Elephas maximus indicus: one gene and its partner. The protein of the gene in region 1 purifies or fractionates together with the protein of each later gene. This does not show direct contact. Links are inferred from orthologs where the notes say so. Each region holds a gene or a part of one and is shown in the gene's direction. Other genes may lie near its edges.

The links. The genes of interacting proteins can lie anywhere in the genome.
Region 2: the proteins of JOSD2 (region 1) and AHCYL2 purify together in Homo sapiens (affinity purification with mass spectrometry; 3 studies listed by BioGRID and IntAct, counting the BioPlex papers as one, with this or other methods). This does not show direct contact. The link is inferred for Elephas maximus indicus from reciprocal best matches to the Homo sapiens genes JOSD2 and AHCYL2.

Annotation. Positions count from the first base shown.
Region 1 is NC_064829.1:97,910,017-97,917,944, forward strand, and holds the start of JOSD2 (josephin-2), read left to right. Parts: upstream 1-4,745; 5' UTR 4,746-4,931; intron 4,932-5,547; 5' UTR 5,548-5,561; coding exon 5,562-5,707; intron 5,708-7,884; coding exon 7,885-7,928. Other genes in the region: ASPDH (aspartate dehydrogenase domain-containing protein), read left to right, coding at 1,934-1,988, 2,374-2,518, 2,724-2,808, 2,911-3,060, 3,136-3,356, 3,447-3,601, 4,209-4,252. UniProt on the Homo sapiens protein: Cleaves 'Lys-63'-linked poly-ubiquitin chains, and with lesser efficiency 'Lys-48'-linked poly-ubiquitin chains (in vitro). May act as a deubiquitinating enzyme.
Region 2 is NC_064826.1:20,868,621-20,876,885, reverse strand, and holds the start of AHCYL2 (adenosylhomocysteinase 3), read left to right. Parts: upstream 1-5,005; 5' UTR 5,006-5,064; coding exon 5,065-5,427; intron 5,428-8,265. UniProt on the Homo sapiens protein: May regulate the electrogenic sodium/bicarbonate cotransporter SLC4A4 activity and Mg(2+)-sensitivity. On the contrary of its homolog AHCYL1, does not regulate ITPR1 sensitivity to inositol 1,4,5-trisphosphate.

The DNA of each region.
Region 1 (7,928 bases):
GGGGAGTGTACCGGCTGTAGCCAAGGCCCCAGGAGCATGAGGGAAGCTGTTTGTTCCTTGTTTTTTAGTGAAGTGGCAGGAAGGACTCTGTCCAGGCCTGGGGAGCAGAGGGGACAGGGAGAGGGGACACCGCTGCCTAGAAGGGACAGAGCCCTCTGCCAGGGGCAGCTGCTGGGCAGAGGGAGTGCGTGATGTCTAGGGGAGACCCAGGCACCCACGTCTCAGCCGAGAGAGACAGAGACAGAGGAGAGAGACAGCTGCCTGTCTAGATAGGTGAGGACAGAGGGGTGAGCAGAGCCTGAGGGGGCCTGACAGCTGCATACCACAAGAGGGAGGCACCCCTTCCAGGCCCCCCTGCTCCCCTCACGTGGGCAGACACCGTGGAACACCAGCCCAGGTCAAGTGACGACCATGGGGGGGCGGGGCGATGGGCAGAAAGGGCTTAATTGGGGAGGCCTGAGGAGGCCTGCCGGCACCTCTCCCCTGACTGTTCCTGCCCCTGTAGCATCTTGTCTCACCCCACTGGGGCTCTTAAGGCACATTCTCCTCTTATCAGGCCCCCCCCCACCCCCGCCAGCCTCCCCAGGCGGCGAGGTGTCTGGGGTCTCAGGCCCTATCAGTTTGCAACTATCTGCTTCCGCCACTACCACCTGTCAACTTAGGACTCTGGGCGTCCCCAGGCCCCCAGCCTCCCTTTCATGCTCCCTTTTCCTCTTGGTCCCTTTCAGCGCGGATCCTGGTTGCCATGGAAACACTGCAGCGGGTACCAGGTGGTAGTTGGGGGCAGGGCTCGGGGCTGCCTCAGCCTCCGCCATTTCTGTGCCAGGCACCCCAGAGGCGCAGTAGCCGGGCAGGGCGCGTTCTGGGGGCCACTCAGGAACTCTCCAGGCCTCGGGCCATCTCTTTGGCCCCTGGAGTTGGGCGGGGAGGGAAGGGCATGGTAGTGAGGATGTAAGGGGGGGTGTGGCTGATCGCATCTTGGCGCGGGAGAGCGAAAGGTGAAAAGTCAAGGTGAACTGAAGGACAATGAGAGGAAGGAGGGAGGTGCTGGGTAAGGCCTGGGAGCTGGGGGATGCGAGGAGGGGCCGGGCCACGACTAGGGCCCACTGGAGCAAGGGCATGGCTAGGGCAGGTTGGGGAAACGCAGGAGCTGGCGGGGCTGAGGCCACCCGAGGACCAGCTAGGCGGACCAGCCAGGCGGGTTGGGGAGAAGAGGCAGACTGGGTCCAGGCTGGGGACAGAACTGCAACAGACCAGGCCAGGAGGAGACGTAGCAGGGGCAGGGAGGGCTGGAGACAGAGAGACAAAGAAGAGAGAGCCCCGCGGTGGAGACTCAGAGAGAACCGCAGGGAGGGACAAGGGGTCCGCACAGGGAGTCGCAGGGAGCCAGAATCCACTCGGCAGTAACGGGTTCAGAGCTTTTTGTTCTTTTCTTTTTTTATGGACAAGAAGCACACTGGTGCCAAGGCGGAGGGAGAGACCCAGAAAGAGGACCAAGCTGAGAGTCCAGAGTCCCCTATTCCCAGCTCCTCCCGCTCCCTCCCAGCACTCTCAACCCCCACCCCAAGCAGGATGCAGTTTCCATGGCAACCTGGCCGGCCCGAAGGGGGCGGGGGACTGCAGAGGAAATTTTCCACAACAGCAAGAAGGGAGGAGGGTGCAAGGCAGGAAGGTGGCCCGGATAGAGTGGGGGCCATGCGGGGCCCCTGAGTCTCAAACCAGCACACTCAGGGCACCTCAGAGGGAAGGGAAGTACCCTCACCCACCCTCATTCCAGCAAACCCACTCCCCCAGCTCAGTGGAAGTTTCCAGAGAGGCCCAAGGGCCAAATGTCCAAAGGTCACCACTGCCCAGGCCTCCTGTGTGTGGTGGCTGGGGGCGGGGGGACAGGGAGAAGCAGCTGGAGCTCGGACATTTGCTGTCAGGTCCAGGCATGGCCCTCGACAGAGCCCCCTGGAGGGTGGGGGTGGTGGGCTACGGACGCCTCGGTGAGTCCTGAGCATCTTGGGCCTCCTTCTCCAGACCTCTTACTTAAGGCCAAGTCCCTGTCCCCCCTCCTCCTGTGTCTTTATCTGTGCCCGCTGGGTCTCCATCCCCTTCTCTCTGGGTCTCCATGCCCCCCTTTCTCTAGGTCTCCGTCCCCTTCTCTCTGGGTCTCTGTCCCCCCATCTCTGGATCTCCATCCCCCTCTTTCTCTGGGTCTCTGTCTCCCTCTCTCTGGGTCTCTGCCCCCCCCACCCTGCCCCCCATCTCTCTGTGGATCTCTGCCCCCCCCCGTCTCTGTCCCTCTCTCTCTAGGTCTCTATCCCCCCTCTCTCTGGGCCTCTGTCCCCCTCTCACAGGTTCTAGCCCTCTCCCCCACCTCTCCCCCAGGACAGTCTCTCGTCTCACACCTGCTGGCTCAGGGGCCAGAACTGGGCCTAGAACTTGTGTTTGTCTGGAATCGGGACCAAGGACGAATGGCAGGGACTGTGCCCCCCTCTCTGCAGCTCCAGGATCTTGCTGCCCTCAGGGAGAGGTCAGTGACCTCGTCAGGTCCAGAAGGGCTCCTGAAAGATTTTGCTTTGCTCTCAGCTGCTGTATCTCAGACAAAACCCTTAGCCTCTCTGGGTCTCAGTTCACCCACACGTAAAAGGAGACAGGCGCATACGGCCTGTGAAGGAATTGGGAGGCAGGGGGCCAAGCCCTCTCCCATACCCTCTCCCATCTCTCCCCTCTTCCAGGCACCCTGATGTGGTGGTGGAAGTGGCCCACCCCAAAATAATCCATGATTCTGGGGCACACATCCTGCGCCACGCGAATCTGCTGGTAAGCCCCTCCTTGTGACCCCAGGACCTTGTCCCTTCAGCCTCAACCCCACCTCATCCACACGCCCTGACCTCAGCCCCTCCCCCATTCATGCATCCCCAGGTGGGGTCCCCCTCAGCCCTGGCTGACCAGGCCACAGAGCAGCGGCTCCAGGAGGCCTCCCATCGCTGGGGCCATGCCGTGTTTGTCGCCCGGGGGGCCCTGTGGGGCTCTGAGGACATCACCAGATTGGACAAGGCAGGGGGCCTTCAGGTGAGGGCCTATAGGGCTCCCTGGGAACTGGGAGGGGGCCTGCAGAGGCCCCCTGACCCCAGGTCTTGCTTCCAGAGCCTCCGCGTCACCATGGCCACACACCCCGATGGCTTCCGGCTAGAGGGGCCCCTGGCCGCAGCCCCCAGGACTGGGCCCCGAACGGTGCTCTACCAGGGACCTGTCCGAGGCCTGTGCCCCTGGGCCCCCCGCAACTCAAACACCATGGCAGCTGCTGCCCTGGCTGCCCCCAGCCTGGGCTTCGACCGCGTCATCGGGGTGCTGGTGGCTGACCTCAGGTGAGCCCAGAGCCCAGCCGAGCCGAGCCGAGGAGGGGATGGCGCGAGCCGAGGCCTAGCCAGCCCAACTAACCACCCTGCCCGCCCCAGCCTCCCGGATATGCACGTGGTGGATGTGGAACTAAGCGGACCCCCGGGCCCAGCAGGCCGCAGCTTTGTCGTGCACACCCGCAGAGAGAACCCTGCTGAGCCAGGCGCTGTCACCGGCTCTGCCACGGTCACCGCCTTCTGGCGCAGCCTCCTGGGTGCGGCTGTGCCCCTCCCCAGTGTCAGGGGCCCCTCCTGCCCTGAGGCCTGGGCACCTGTGTTCCACAGAGTGTGGGTTTCAGGCTCTGCCTGGTTCTGATTCTGTCCCTTCTGGTTGGTCTGTATTTGAGGCTCCTTAACTGTCTCCCCTACAAGTCTTTGAAACTTCATATCTCTCTCTCTGTCCATGTCTCTCTTCTGGATCTCTGTTCCCCTCCATCTAGGTCTTTGTTCCCCTCTGAGTATCTAACCACCTTTCTTTGGGTCTCTGTCTCCCTCGGCCCCCCCCCCACCGCGGCATCTCTGTACCCACTCTCCCTGGGTCCCTGTCCCCCTCTCTCTGGGTCTCCATCCCCTTCCTCTAGGTCTCCATCCCCTCCCTCTAGGTCTCTCTTCCTCTCTAAATATCCGTCCTTTTTTGGGGTCTCTATATCCCTCTCTCTCTGGATCCCTGTCCCCCTCTCTCTGGGTCCCTGTCCTCCTCTCTCTGGGTCTCTGTCCCCCTCTCTCTGGGACTTCTCCCCCCAACCCTGCTGGGATGCTCCTTATATCTATCTCTGTCTCTCTCTCTGTCCCAGTCTTTAATTCTCCGCCTCTCCCCTGCAGGCTGCTGCCAGCTCCCCTCCAAGCCAGGGATCCATCTCTGCTGAGAAGCTTCTTCACTCCCGAGAGAACATCCGCATATCATTTACCCCCCCCACCGCCGTCCCACGCCTCGCCTGGCCTCAGTTTCCCCAGATCTCCCTCCTGTCTCAGTAAAGATCGGTGGCTCCTCCCCCTGCAGAGTCCGGGTGTCTCTCTGGGCTCTAGTTTCCCTCCTGTGACGTCACGCTGCCTCTGCACACCGTACGTGACGCCAAGCGAGAGACTGGCACAAGGGGGGGCGGGGCTGGGGGGGGGCCAATAAGCCAAGCAGCTATCGCGAGAGCTTACGCACTACATTTCCCAGAATCCTCTGGGAAGCCGGGGGCGCAGTAGTACCCACACTGCGCGAGGGGGTGGGCCTCTAAGAGGTGTATTTCCGGGTTCGCCGCAGAGGCCGACGGAAGTTGTAGTCCCACCTTATTTAGCTGTGACTGTCCACGCGGCCCGGTCGTTCCGTACGCAGCCTGCGCTTCCGCGGGAGCCACCGGGAGTCGTAGTCCGGCACGCGGGGGCCGCCGGGAGCTGTAGTCCGTCCGGCCGGCCCAGTCAGCGCCGCGCTGCCCGCCCAGCATTCGGAACACAGAGCCACCGCCCAGGGGGATGCGGGAGCCCCTGGCTCGGGGGAAAGGAGAGGCAGGCGGGGTGAGCGGCGTTGCCAGGCAACGGGCGAGCGCCGCGGTTGGGGTACGGGTCAGGGAAAGGGGTTCTACTGCTTGATGTACGGGGAAGGGGCTTGGTTACCAGGTGATACTAGGAGGGGACCCTGTTGCTTAGTGACTAGCTAGTGGGCCCTGTTGCCAGGTGACAGGAGAAAACCTTGTTGTTTAGTGACAGGGGAGGGGGAGTCTTCTGTCGCTAGGCGACCAGAAGAGACCCTGTTACCTAGAGACAGCGAAGGAGGAGTCCTCTATTGCTAGATAACCAGAATAGAGACTTGGTTACCTAGTGAGGTGGGGGTGGAGGTCCTCTGTTGCTAAGCAACCAGGGAGGGGTTCTGTTACTTAGGGACGGGGGGCGTTTCTCTGTTGCTAGGTGACCAATATAGGGACCCTTTTACTTATGGATGTGGTGGGGGGGTCCCCTGTTGCTAGGTGGACAGGAGAACCTTGTTTTTAGGGGCAGGGAATGGAGATACCTCTGTGCCTACGGAGCAGGTCGGGGCCCAGTGTCCTCCCAGGCTCCCCCAAGTCCCCACCTCAATGGCGGTGCCCCCAAGGGCCTGCTGGGAGGTTGGGCCTCAGCCTCTGGGCCTCCAGATCCTAATCCCTGAGTCCCACTCCTCCCCGCCCCCCCACCGCAGGAGCCAAGGACGTTATGTCCCAGGCCCCAGGAGCCCGGCAGAGCCAGCCCTCCGTGTACCACGAGCGGCAGCGCCTGGAGCTGTGTGCCGTCCACGCCCTCAACAACGTCCTGCAGCAGCAGCTCTTCAGCCAGGAGGCTGCCGATGAGATCTGCAAGAGGTGACTGTCACCCACCCGAACTGCTGGCACCTGGAGACACAGGGCTCAGAGAGGCAATGCCACTCGCCTGGGTCTCACAGGGAGGCAGGGCAGAGCCAGGGGGGCTTTCTGTCCTGCTCACCCCACCTGGGCTGGTGGAGATGTTCCTCCTGTTCCTCTCTGCCCCCATGGCCTCAGTCCCAGGTCAGGCCTCACCCTCTCTCATCTGGACCCTTGTCCCAGCCTCCTTGCTGGGCTTCCAGTTTCCAGTCTTTCCCTTCTAGTTTGTCCTGCGTTTGACCCCAGAGCTGACCCTGCTCACATCCCTCCCATGGCTCGCCAGTAACCCTGGAACAAAGCCCAGCCCCACAGCCTGAGATCCAAGGCCTGTGTGCTCTAGTCCCTACCCAGCTCTAAAGCTTTGTCTCTCACTGCACCCCTCAACTCAAACTGCTTGTCTTAGTTACCTAGCGCTGTTGTAACAGAAACATCACAAGTGGGTGGCTTTAACAAACAGAAATTTATTTTCTCACAGTTTAGGAGGGCTGGAAATCCAAATTCAGGGCTCTGGCTTTAAGGGAAGGCTCTCTCTCTCTGCCCTGGGAGAAAGTCCTTATCTCTTTTTAGCTTCTGTTCCTTGGTTCCCTGGTGATCATGTGGCATGTATCTTCCCCTCTGTTTGTGCTTGCTTGCTTAATCTGCTCTCTTATATCTCAAAAAAGGTTAATTTATGATACACCCTACTGCCTCATTGACATAAGAAAGTAAACCTATTCCTGAATGGGACTGTAACCACAAGTATACAAAACCATTGCCTTCAGGTTGATTCCAACTGCCCCATAGGGTTTCCTAGGCTGTAATCTTTACAGAAGCAGATTGCCACATCTTTCTGCCATGGAGCAACTGGTGGGTTCCAACTGCCAAGCTTTTGGTTAGCAGCTGAGTACTTAAGCACTGCATCACCAGGACTCCTTTACCACAGGTATACCCATTGCCATTAAGTCAATGGAACTGCCCTATAGGGTTTACTAGGCTGTAATCTTTATGGAAGCAGACTGTCACATCTTTCTCCTATGAAGCTGCTAGTGAGTTAGCAGCCAGGCACTTACCCACTGAGCCACCACGGGGCCTTTGCACAAGCTATTCTTTCCTGCTGGCATAGCTTCCTCCTTTCTGCAGCCTGGCATGGTTCTCCTCACTGTTCAAGATTTCACACATCATTGCTTTATTACTGCTTTACCTTCTGCTCTTCCCCTCCTCTCTGTCCCTGCAGCACCAGCCCCAACTCGGGCCCTGATCTCTCCAGCCTGTAATCACACCCTAGCCTCCCAGCCTGTCCCCCATAAGGTGCCAGAATAGTCTTTCTCCCAGACCTCCCAGTGTCTTCAGGTTGAGTCCCAGCCCTCAGACTGGTTCTTATACAATGTATTCAGCTCCTCCATCATCCAAATCAGGGATTAATCAGCTCTTTCATGCTAAGACTATGCTGGAGGCCCAGAAGTGAATCAGACAGAGTCTGACCCTGCGGGAGCCCTCGATCTGGGAAGGGAAACAGAGACACAGGAAAATAATCCTTAGACTTTCCCCTACTCTGTCCCTCCCCTGCCCTATCCACTGAGGGTGCAGATAGAGAACAGAGGGACTGTTGTTCAGAGGATGCGGGGCCCAGAAACAAGTGGTGACAGGCTGGGCCTCCCGGGCTGGGAGAACAGCTGGAGGGAAGGCTGAGAGGCTGGAACATTGGTGATGGGGTTGGGGAACAGGTGGCTGGGAAGGGGTGGGGCGAGGCTGAGGCTAAGCGGTGTGCAGGGCCTCGAATGCCAAGTTGAGGGGCTGAGAGTTCATCCTGAAGGTACTAGGGAGCCAGGGAGGGCTGTGAGCAGGGGAGAGGGAGGGCCAGCTCTGAGTGTAGAAAGAGCCCTGCAGGGCCATGTAGGAGATGGACTGGAGGGAGAGACTGGAGGCCAGGGAAGAGGTTGGGGTGAGGGTTCAGATGGGAGAAGACAAAGCCCGAGCTGAGGCCTTGGGAACATGGCAGAGAGAGTCACCAGGCAGGAGGGACAGGGCCTAGGGGCTGACGAGTTGTGGGGGTTGAAGAGAGGAAACAGTCCAAAGGTTGGGTTGACTCTCCTGCTTTGTAGGGAGGGTGAGCCCTTTCCAGGGACTCCCCAACTCAGGCACTGACCACCCCCAAACAGGTTGGCACCAGACTCCCGGCTGAACCCCCATCGCAGCCTCCTGG
Region 2 (8,265 bases), on another chromosome or scaffold:
CACAACAGAATGAAACAGTGTCCGGTCCTGCACCATCCTCACAATCACTGCTATGTTTGAGCCCGTTGTTATAGCTGTTGTGTCAATCCATCTCACTGAAGGTCTTCCTCTCTTTCACTGACCCTCTACTTTACCAAGTGTCTTAGTTATCTAGTGCTGCTATAACAGAAATACCATAAGTGAATGGCTTTAACAAAGAGAAATTTATTCTCTCACAGCCTAGGAGGCTAACAGTCTGAATTCAGGGCACTAGCACAGGGAAAGGCTGTCTCTGTCAGCTTTGGAGGAAGGTCCTTGTCATCAATCTTTCTTTGGTAGAGGTGTGTTATGGATTGAATTGTGTCCCCCCAAAATATGTGCCAACTTGGTTAGGCCATGATTCCCAGTATTGTGTGGTTGTCCTCCATTTTGTGATTGTAATTTTATGTTAAAAAGGATTAGGGTGGGATTGTAACACCCTTACTAAGGTCACATCCCTGATCCAATGTAAAGGGAGTTTCCCTGGGGTGTGGCCTGCACCACCTTTTATCTTACAAGAGATAAAAGGAAAGAGAGGCAGCAGAGAGTTGGGGACCTCATACCACTAAGAAAGCAGTGCCAGGAGCAAACTGTGTCCTTTGGGCCTGAGGTTCCTGCACTGAGATGCTCCTAGACCAAGGGAAAACTGATGACAAGGACCTTCCTCCAGAGTCAACAGATAAACAAAGCCTTCCCCTGGAGTTGACACCCTGAATTTGGATTTCTAGCCTACTAGCCTACTTTAACAAAGAGAAAATACATGTCTGTTTGTTAAAGTCATCCACTTGTGGTATTTCTGTTGCAGCAACACTAGATGACTAAGTCAAGGAGCTTCTCAGCACAGGGACCCCAGGTCCAAAGGATGCGTTATGCTCCAGGTGTTTCTTTCTTGGCGGTATGAGGTCCCCATGTCTCTCTGCTCACTTCCTTCTTTTATATCTCAAAAGAGATTGACTTAAGACAAAACCTACTCTTGTAGATTGAGTCCTGACTCATTAACATAACTGCCTCTAATCCTGCCTCATTAACATCATAGAGGTAGGATTTACAACACATAGGAAAATCATAGCAGATGACAAGATGTTGGACAATCACACAATACCAGGAATTATGGCCTAGCCAAGTTGACACATATTTTTGAGGGACACAATTTATCCATAACACCAAGCATGATGTCCTTCTCCAGAGACTGGTCCCTCCTGATAACATGTCCGAAGTACATAAGACAAAGTCTCACCAACCTCACTTCTGAAGAGCATTCTGGCTGTACTTCTTCCAAGACAGATTTGTTCCTTTCTTTGGCAGTCTGTGGTATACTCAACATTCTTTGCCAAGACCATAAAGACATCAATTCTTCTCCAGTCTTCCTTATTCATTGTCCAGGTTTTGCATGCATATGAGGCAACTGAAAATACCATGGCTTGGGTCAGGTGCACATTAGTCCTTAAAGTGTCATCTTTGCTTTTTAATACTTTAAAAAGGTCTTTTGCGGTAGGTTTGCCCAACGCAATGTATCGTTTGATTTCTTGACTGCTGCTTCCATGGGTGTTGATTGTGGATCCAAGTAAAATGAAATTCTTGACAACTTCAGTATCTTCTTCATTTATCATGATGTTGCTTAGTGGTTTAGTTATAAGGATTTTTGTATTTTTTTTTTTTTTATGTTAAGGTGTAAACCATACTGAAGGCTGTAGTCTTTGATCTTCATTAGTAAGTGCTTCAAGTCCTCTTCACTTTCAGCAAGCAAGGTTGTGTGATCTGCATATCGCAGATGGTTACTAAGTCTTCCTCCAATCCTGATGCCTTGTTCTTCTTTATACAGTCCAGCTTCTTGGATTATTTGCTCAGCATACAGACTGAAAAAGTACAGTGAAAGGATACAACCCTAATACACACCTTTCCTGATTTTAAATCATGTAGTATTCCCTTGTTCTGTTCAAATGACTGCCTCTATGTACAGGTTCCTCATGAGTACAATTAAGTATTCTGAAATTCTCATTTCTTGCAATGTTATACATAATTTGTTAAGATTCACACAGTCGAATGCCTTTGCATAGTCAATAAAACACAGGTAAACATCTTTCTGGTATTCTCTGCTCTCAGCCAGAATCCATCTGACATTAGCAATGATATCCCTGGTTCCATGTCCTCTTCTGAATTTGGCTTGAAGTTCTGGCAATTCCCCGTCAGATGTACTGCTGCAACCATTTTTGAATGATCTTCAGCAAAATTTTACTTGCATGTGATATTAATGATATTTTTTGATAATTTCTGCATTCCATTCTTTGGAATGGGCACAAATATGGATCTCTTTCAATTGTTTAGCCAGGTAGCTGTCTTCCAAATTTCTTGGCCTAGATGAGTGAGTGCTTCCAGCACTGCATCCCTTTGTTGAAACATCTCAACTGGTACACTGTCAATTCCTGGGGCCTTGTTTTTCACCAATGGCTTCAGTGCAGCTTGGACTTCTTCCTTCAGTACCATCAGTTCTTGACCATATGCTACCTCCTAAAATGACTGAATGTGGACCAATTCTTTTTGGTACAGTGACTCTGTGTATTCCTTCCATCTTTCTTTGATGCTTCCTGCATTGTTTGATATTTTGCCACAGGTACCTACCTGAGGCCATATGGCTAATTAGTGGGGTAATTTAGACTAAACCAGGGCAGGATCTTGACTGATTACCAATCCAGTCTTCCTTCTCTATGGCCTCAGCCAATGATCTGTTTATGAATTGAAGGATATTTGTCATTTTGGTCCTAATTGGGGCAATTTTTTTTTATTGTAGTAAAAACAAAATATATATATATCACAAAAAATGTGCTGTTTCAATCAGTGTTAAGTGTACAATTCCATAACATTAATCACATTCACCATGCTATGCAACCATCACCACTATTCATTCCAAAAAACAAAAAACTGTAATCACCCCAAACAGAAACCCAGTACACCTTAAGCAATACCTCACCATTTCTCCCTACCTCCAACCCCTGATAACTTACCTACTTTCTGTCTCTATGCATTTGCCTATTCTAGGTATTTTATATAAGTGAGATCATATTTGTCCTTTTGTGTGTAATGTTTTCAAGGTTCATCCACGTCACAGCATGCATCAGAACTTCATTTGTCTTTAATGACATTCCACTGTATGCATGTACCACATTTTGTTCATCCATTCATCTACTGAAAGACATTTGAGCTTTTCCTCAGATACTTTTTTCCTATTGAAAGTAAAACTGCCATGTATGTTTTGTATTTACATCTTTTAAAATAAAAGGAAAAAATTCTAAATAAAACAGAAAAGTACAAAGAAGGAAGAAATATCAACCCACGTCTCATAACTTAGGGAAATTATTATTCATATTTTAGTTAATATTCCTCTATGTTGCTATCTGGAGTCCCAGTGGCACACTGGTTAAGAGCTCAGGCTGCTAATCAAACGTCGGCAATTCAAGTTCACCAGTTGTTCCTTGGAAACCCTATGGGGCAGTGTGACTCTGTCCTATAGGGTCACTATGACTTGGAATCAGTGCGACAGCACGAATCTGGTTTTGGTTTATGCTACTATCTGAAGTCCCTAGATAGTACGAACAGTTAATACGCTTGGATGCTAACTGAAAGGTTGGAGGGTCAACTTCACCCAGAGGTTCCTTGGAAGAAAGGTCTGGCAGTCTACTTTCAAAAAATCATCCATTGAAAACTCTATGGAGCACAGTTCTACTCTGACACAATGGGGTCACCATAAGTTGGAATCCACTTCATGACACCTGGTTTGTTTTTTGGGGGGTGGGGTATATGCTAATGCTTTTAACTGAATTCATATTACACCTCCTCCTCACTTATCAACTACCTTGTTATCTGACATTTCGCATTTACTACAATATTAAAGTATCTACTATTCAACTATTTTGCACATTAACAACGTAGGTCTGGGAGCAATGAACACCCAAGTGCAACGAGAGAATAACGCTGGCTTTCATGGTTAAGGTTATGTGTTAACTTGGCTGGGCCAAGATTCTCAGTGGTTTGGCAGTTATGTAATACCTTGGCATAACTTGGTAATGATGTAGTCATCCTCCATTTTTGCATAACACAGATTTCACACAGTCTTTAGAACCTAACCGTGTTTATAAGTGAAGAGATGGTGCATTTTCCATGTTGAGTTAACAGGTAAAAAGATTTGGCCTTGTTTAAGGCAACTCGTAATTCCTGAGCCTTTAAAATTCAACCTAGTGGTACCTAACTCCTTTTGGAACTGATTTTTAACTTCCAAACCCAGACTATGACAGCAACCATCACAGCAGTCAAGGTCTCCTTATATTCTTTCTAAAAACAAAACCATTAGTTCGCAAAGGTGTTAGGGTTCTGATTTCACGGGGATGGGGGAAAAACAAAAACAAAAACAAGCCACTGCAAGCCTCTGGCTGCGGTCTCGTCACGTGACGCTGCCCCTCTGCCTTTAAATGCCCGCGCACGTGATCGCAGACTTGCACACACACAGGAAATTCACGCTGTCAGGATAACGGTTCCTCCACCCCTACCTTCCCATCTATAGGGTTTCTAGTGTTTCCTCCCTGGAAGCGGCAAGTCCTCTGGAGACTTTCTCTTTCCCATCCCCTTCTTCAGGTCATCTGTCTTCAGTCCCTTCCGTTAGTCGCCAGCCCCAGAGAGCCCTCTTCCCTATAGAAGTCTAGCGTACCTTCCTGAGGAAGGGCCCAAAGGGCCTACAACTCCCAGGGGGCATGGCGGGCTCGCCCCCTCGGCGGCGCGCGGTGCAGGTCGGGGGCTGAGGTCCCACGATCTTTTCGGCGCGTGCGGCCGGGAGCGAGCGCACTACAGGTTCCGTGGCGCCTCGCGCAGGGGCCGGGCTGGGGAGGGGCGGGCTGGGGCAGGACGGGCCCGGGCGGGAGGGCGGGCGGACGGAGGAAGGGGGTGGGAGCGGAGGCGATGGAGGGGAGGAGTGGGGGAATGGGGGAGGGAAGGGAGGCAGGAGGCGGGGCCGAGCCGGAGCTGGAGCCCGAGGCGGCCGTTGCGGCGCAGGCGGTGATGTCGGTGCAGGTTGTGTCAGCCGCGGCGGCCGCCAAGGTGCCTGAGGTGGAGCTGAAGGACCTGAGCCCCTCCGAGGCGGAACCGCAGCTAGGACTGAGCACGGCGGCTGTGGGCGCCATGTCTCCCCCGGCGGGCGGCGGGGACCCTGAGGCTCCGGCTCCGGCCGCCGAGCGGCCCCCGGCCCCCGGCCCGGGCTCCGGGCCCGCCGCCGCGCTCAGCCCTGCCGCCGGGAAGGTGCCTCAGGCGTCGGCCATGAAGCGGAGCGACCCCCATCACCAGCATCAGCGGCACCGCGACGGCGGCGAGGCCCTGGTCAGCCCCGACGGCACCGTCACCGAGGCGCCGCGCACCGTCAAGAAGGTATTCGGGCCGGGCTGCCTCTCGTGGCGAGGCCGGGACGGCGGGGGGACGGCAGGTAGTCGGCCGGCGGCGCCCCCCGCGCCTTGCGTCCCGGTCCTGGGAGCAGAGAGACCCCTGGCTGCCGAGCCGGCCCTTCAGGCCGCAGGGCTGGACAGCGCCCCTTCGCGGCAACACGGAGGTAGCGCGCCCTCGGCTCCTGGGAGCTGGCAGGGCAGCAGAGGCACCTAGTGCTGCGCCCCACCCCTGCACCCCAGCACATCTCGTGTGTCATGGTGCGGACTCCGGGGGGGAGACCCTGATGATGTAGGAAAACCGCATCGTTTAGGAGAGCCCCCCCCCAGCAAGGTGGAAAGAGCTTTCCTACTTGGAGAGCTGTAGGTGCCTCGCCTTGGGACCCTCAGTTGTCTGGTGTCTTAGGGGCGATGAGTGGCCGACGCTTCCATGGAGTAGTTCCAGGGCTGTGCCCTTCATCTCGAGAGACAGCAGTATCCTTGCCTCTTCTGTGAATAGAGAGGGTTTTCCTCTCGGCTCGGGATTATTAGGCTGGTTCGTTTTTTTACCATCTGAAAGTGTTAGGAAGAAATACTGCTTTGGGGGAAAAGTGATCACTGTGAGGCTGTCCTGGCTCAGCTGCCAGCTTCTTTCGGAAATAAGTTTGACTCCTTAAGACCACCAAGGAGTAAGTGTGTCGAGTAGTATGATACCCAAATATTATTCTCACTTTAGCTATCCTGGTGTGTCACTTTCTCTTGAAGCTGAATCAGCCCAGGATAACAAAAAGGCAAATAGCTGAAAAAAGAGTTGATGTGGATCATATAAAAAAGAATTATGGGTCTAGTTTCACAGGCACAATGTGAGGACAGTGATTCGTGGTTTTCCCTTTGATTGTTCTGAATGATTTTAATTGCTTTGTCAGAATAGCAATAAAACGATGTGAAGTCTGCATTGGTTTCTCTGAGTAGGACTCAGCTGAATTGGAACCTTGAACCCAGCTAAACTTTTTTGCTGTAATAGCTGCATGGTTAAGTTATAAAGCAGATGACCTTTTCGTTGTAACTACCCAAATCTAGGCAGTAAACAGACGATGTCGAGGCAAGTCTGAGGGAATTTGTTTAATGATGGTGCAGGTCAATGCCCTTGTCGTTTATAGTATGACGCTCCTGGAGGAATTAGAGGTGGTTAGAGAGGCAGCTTGGATACTGGTGGTTCTCCCTATTGTACACAGACATGAGTCTGGAAATCCTGAGTTCTTTTTTTGACTGGTTGAATTGCTTTATAACTTTGTTCAAATCTTTTCCCTGTAATTAAGACTTGACGACGACAAGAAGGTCTTTTTTTGTGTGGAAAATTTTATAATTTGATTAGATTTCTTGAGGGTAAAACATCCTCTTCTTGAATGTGGTGTTTCTGGTCAGGCAGACCTGAGTTTAAACCTTACTTCCACCGCTAACTAGCTTTTGGGTAATTTTCAAATTCTCTAAATCTCGGTTTCGACTTTTATAAAGTGAGGACATGAACACTATAGAACAGGAGCCCTGGTGGCACAGTGGTTAAGCATTCGGCTGCTAACTGAAAGGCTGGCAGTTTGAACACAGCAGCTCCTCTGTGGGAGAAAGATGTGACAGTCTGCCTCCATAAAGATTAAAAGCCTTGGAAGCCCTATGGGGCAGTTCTGCTCTGTCCTATAGGGTTGCTATGAGTTAGAATCAAGTCGAGGGCAGTGGGTTTGGGTTTAATATTAGAGAGAATTAGAAATGTTTGTAAAGGGCTTAGCATTGAACTGAGCACATGTAGTAGGGGTAAAAGAAATGATAGCTATTATTATGATGAAGAATTGATTTTATTTCTCTCATTATAGTGTAAATGCATATCACCATGACTGCTTCTGAAAGGTACGGATAGTTTTAATAGATTCTACATAAAAAGTTAAAAAATCACAGGGTAGCATACCAGAGTCTGTTTTTCTTAATTCTAAATATGCTTCTAGACCATTTTTCCTGTCACTGAACCACCTTCCTTTATAAAAATGTGGTTCCATGATTCTAGACTTACTCAGCAGCCTCAAGGCTGTGGAAGACAGGGCTGAGCTTGCCTTAGTATGTTAATTGCACCAAAAAGCAACTTTTCTGCTGGAAGTTAAGCAGATGAAACTCTGGACAGGGATACAGCTGCATGACACAATTAAGGACATTGATAGAGCTGCTTCTTTTGGGACAGAATCTTTGACTTTCTTGGTACAGGCAGCCCGTGGATTACGAATGTCAGGTTTACATACAACCCATAGTTGTGAACCAAGCCCTGTAAAATCTGAAATAATACAATGGTTCATAATAACAAATGGGCACTACTTTGCAACATGTGTCAAAATATTATTATCATTACTGTATTATGTTAAAGATTATGGAAACCCTGGTGGCGTAGTGGTTAAGTGCTACGACTGCTAACCAAAGGGTCAGCAGTTCGAATCCACCAGGCGCTTCTCGGAAACTCTATGGGGCAGTATGCTAAAGATGTTTAAGTGTATCTGGAAGTGTTTCTTTAATGTTTTTATACGTAGAAAGTTACACTATATGCTGGGATAAACATTTGACTATTAGATTCTGAACCATACCTAACTGTTCCGATTTACATACAAATTTGACTTAAAGACAGACTTAGAAACAGGACTCATTTGTAATCCATACTCCCTGTATTGGATTGGTGAGTGAAAATAAGTGCGTGATACTACCCTTCTTTCCCCACGTTTAAAGTCACCTCACCAAGGAATTGCCATGTGACATTTTGATTTGGTGAGCCTCTCTTGATTCTCAGATTTATCTATTTAAATAATCTTCTGAC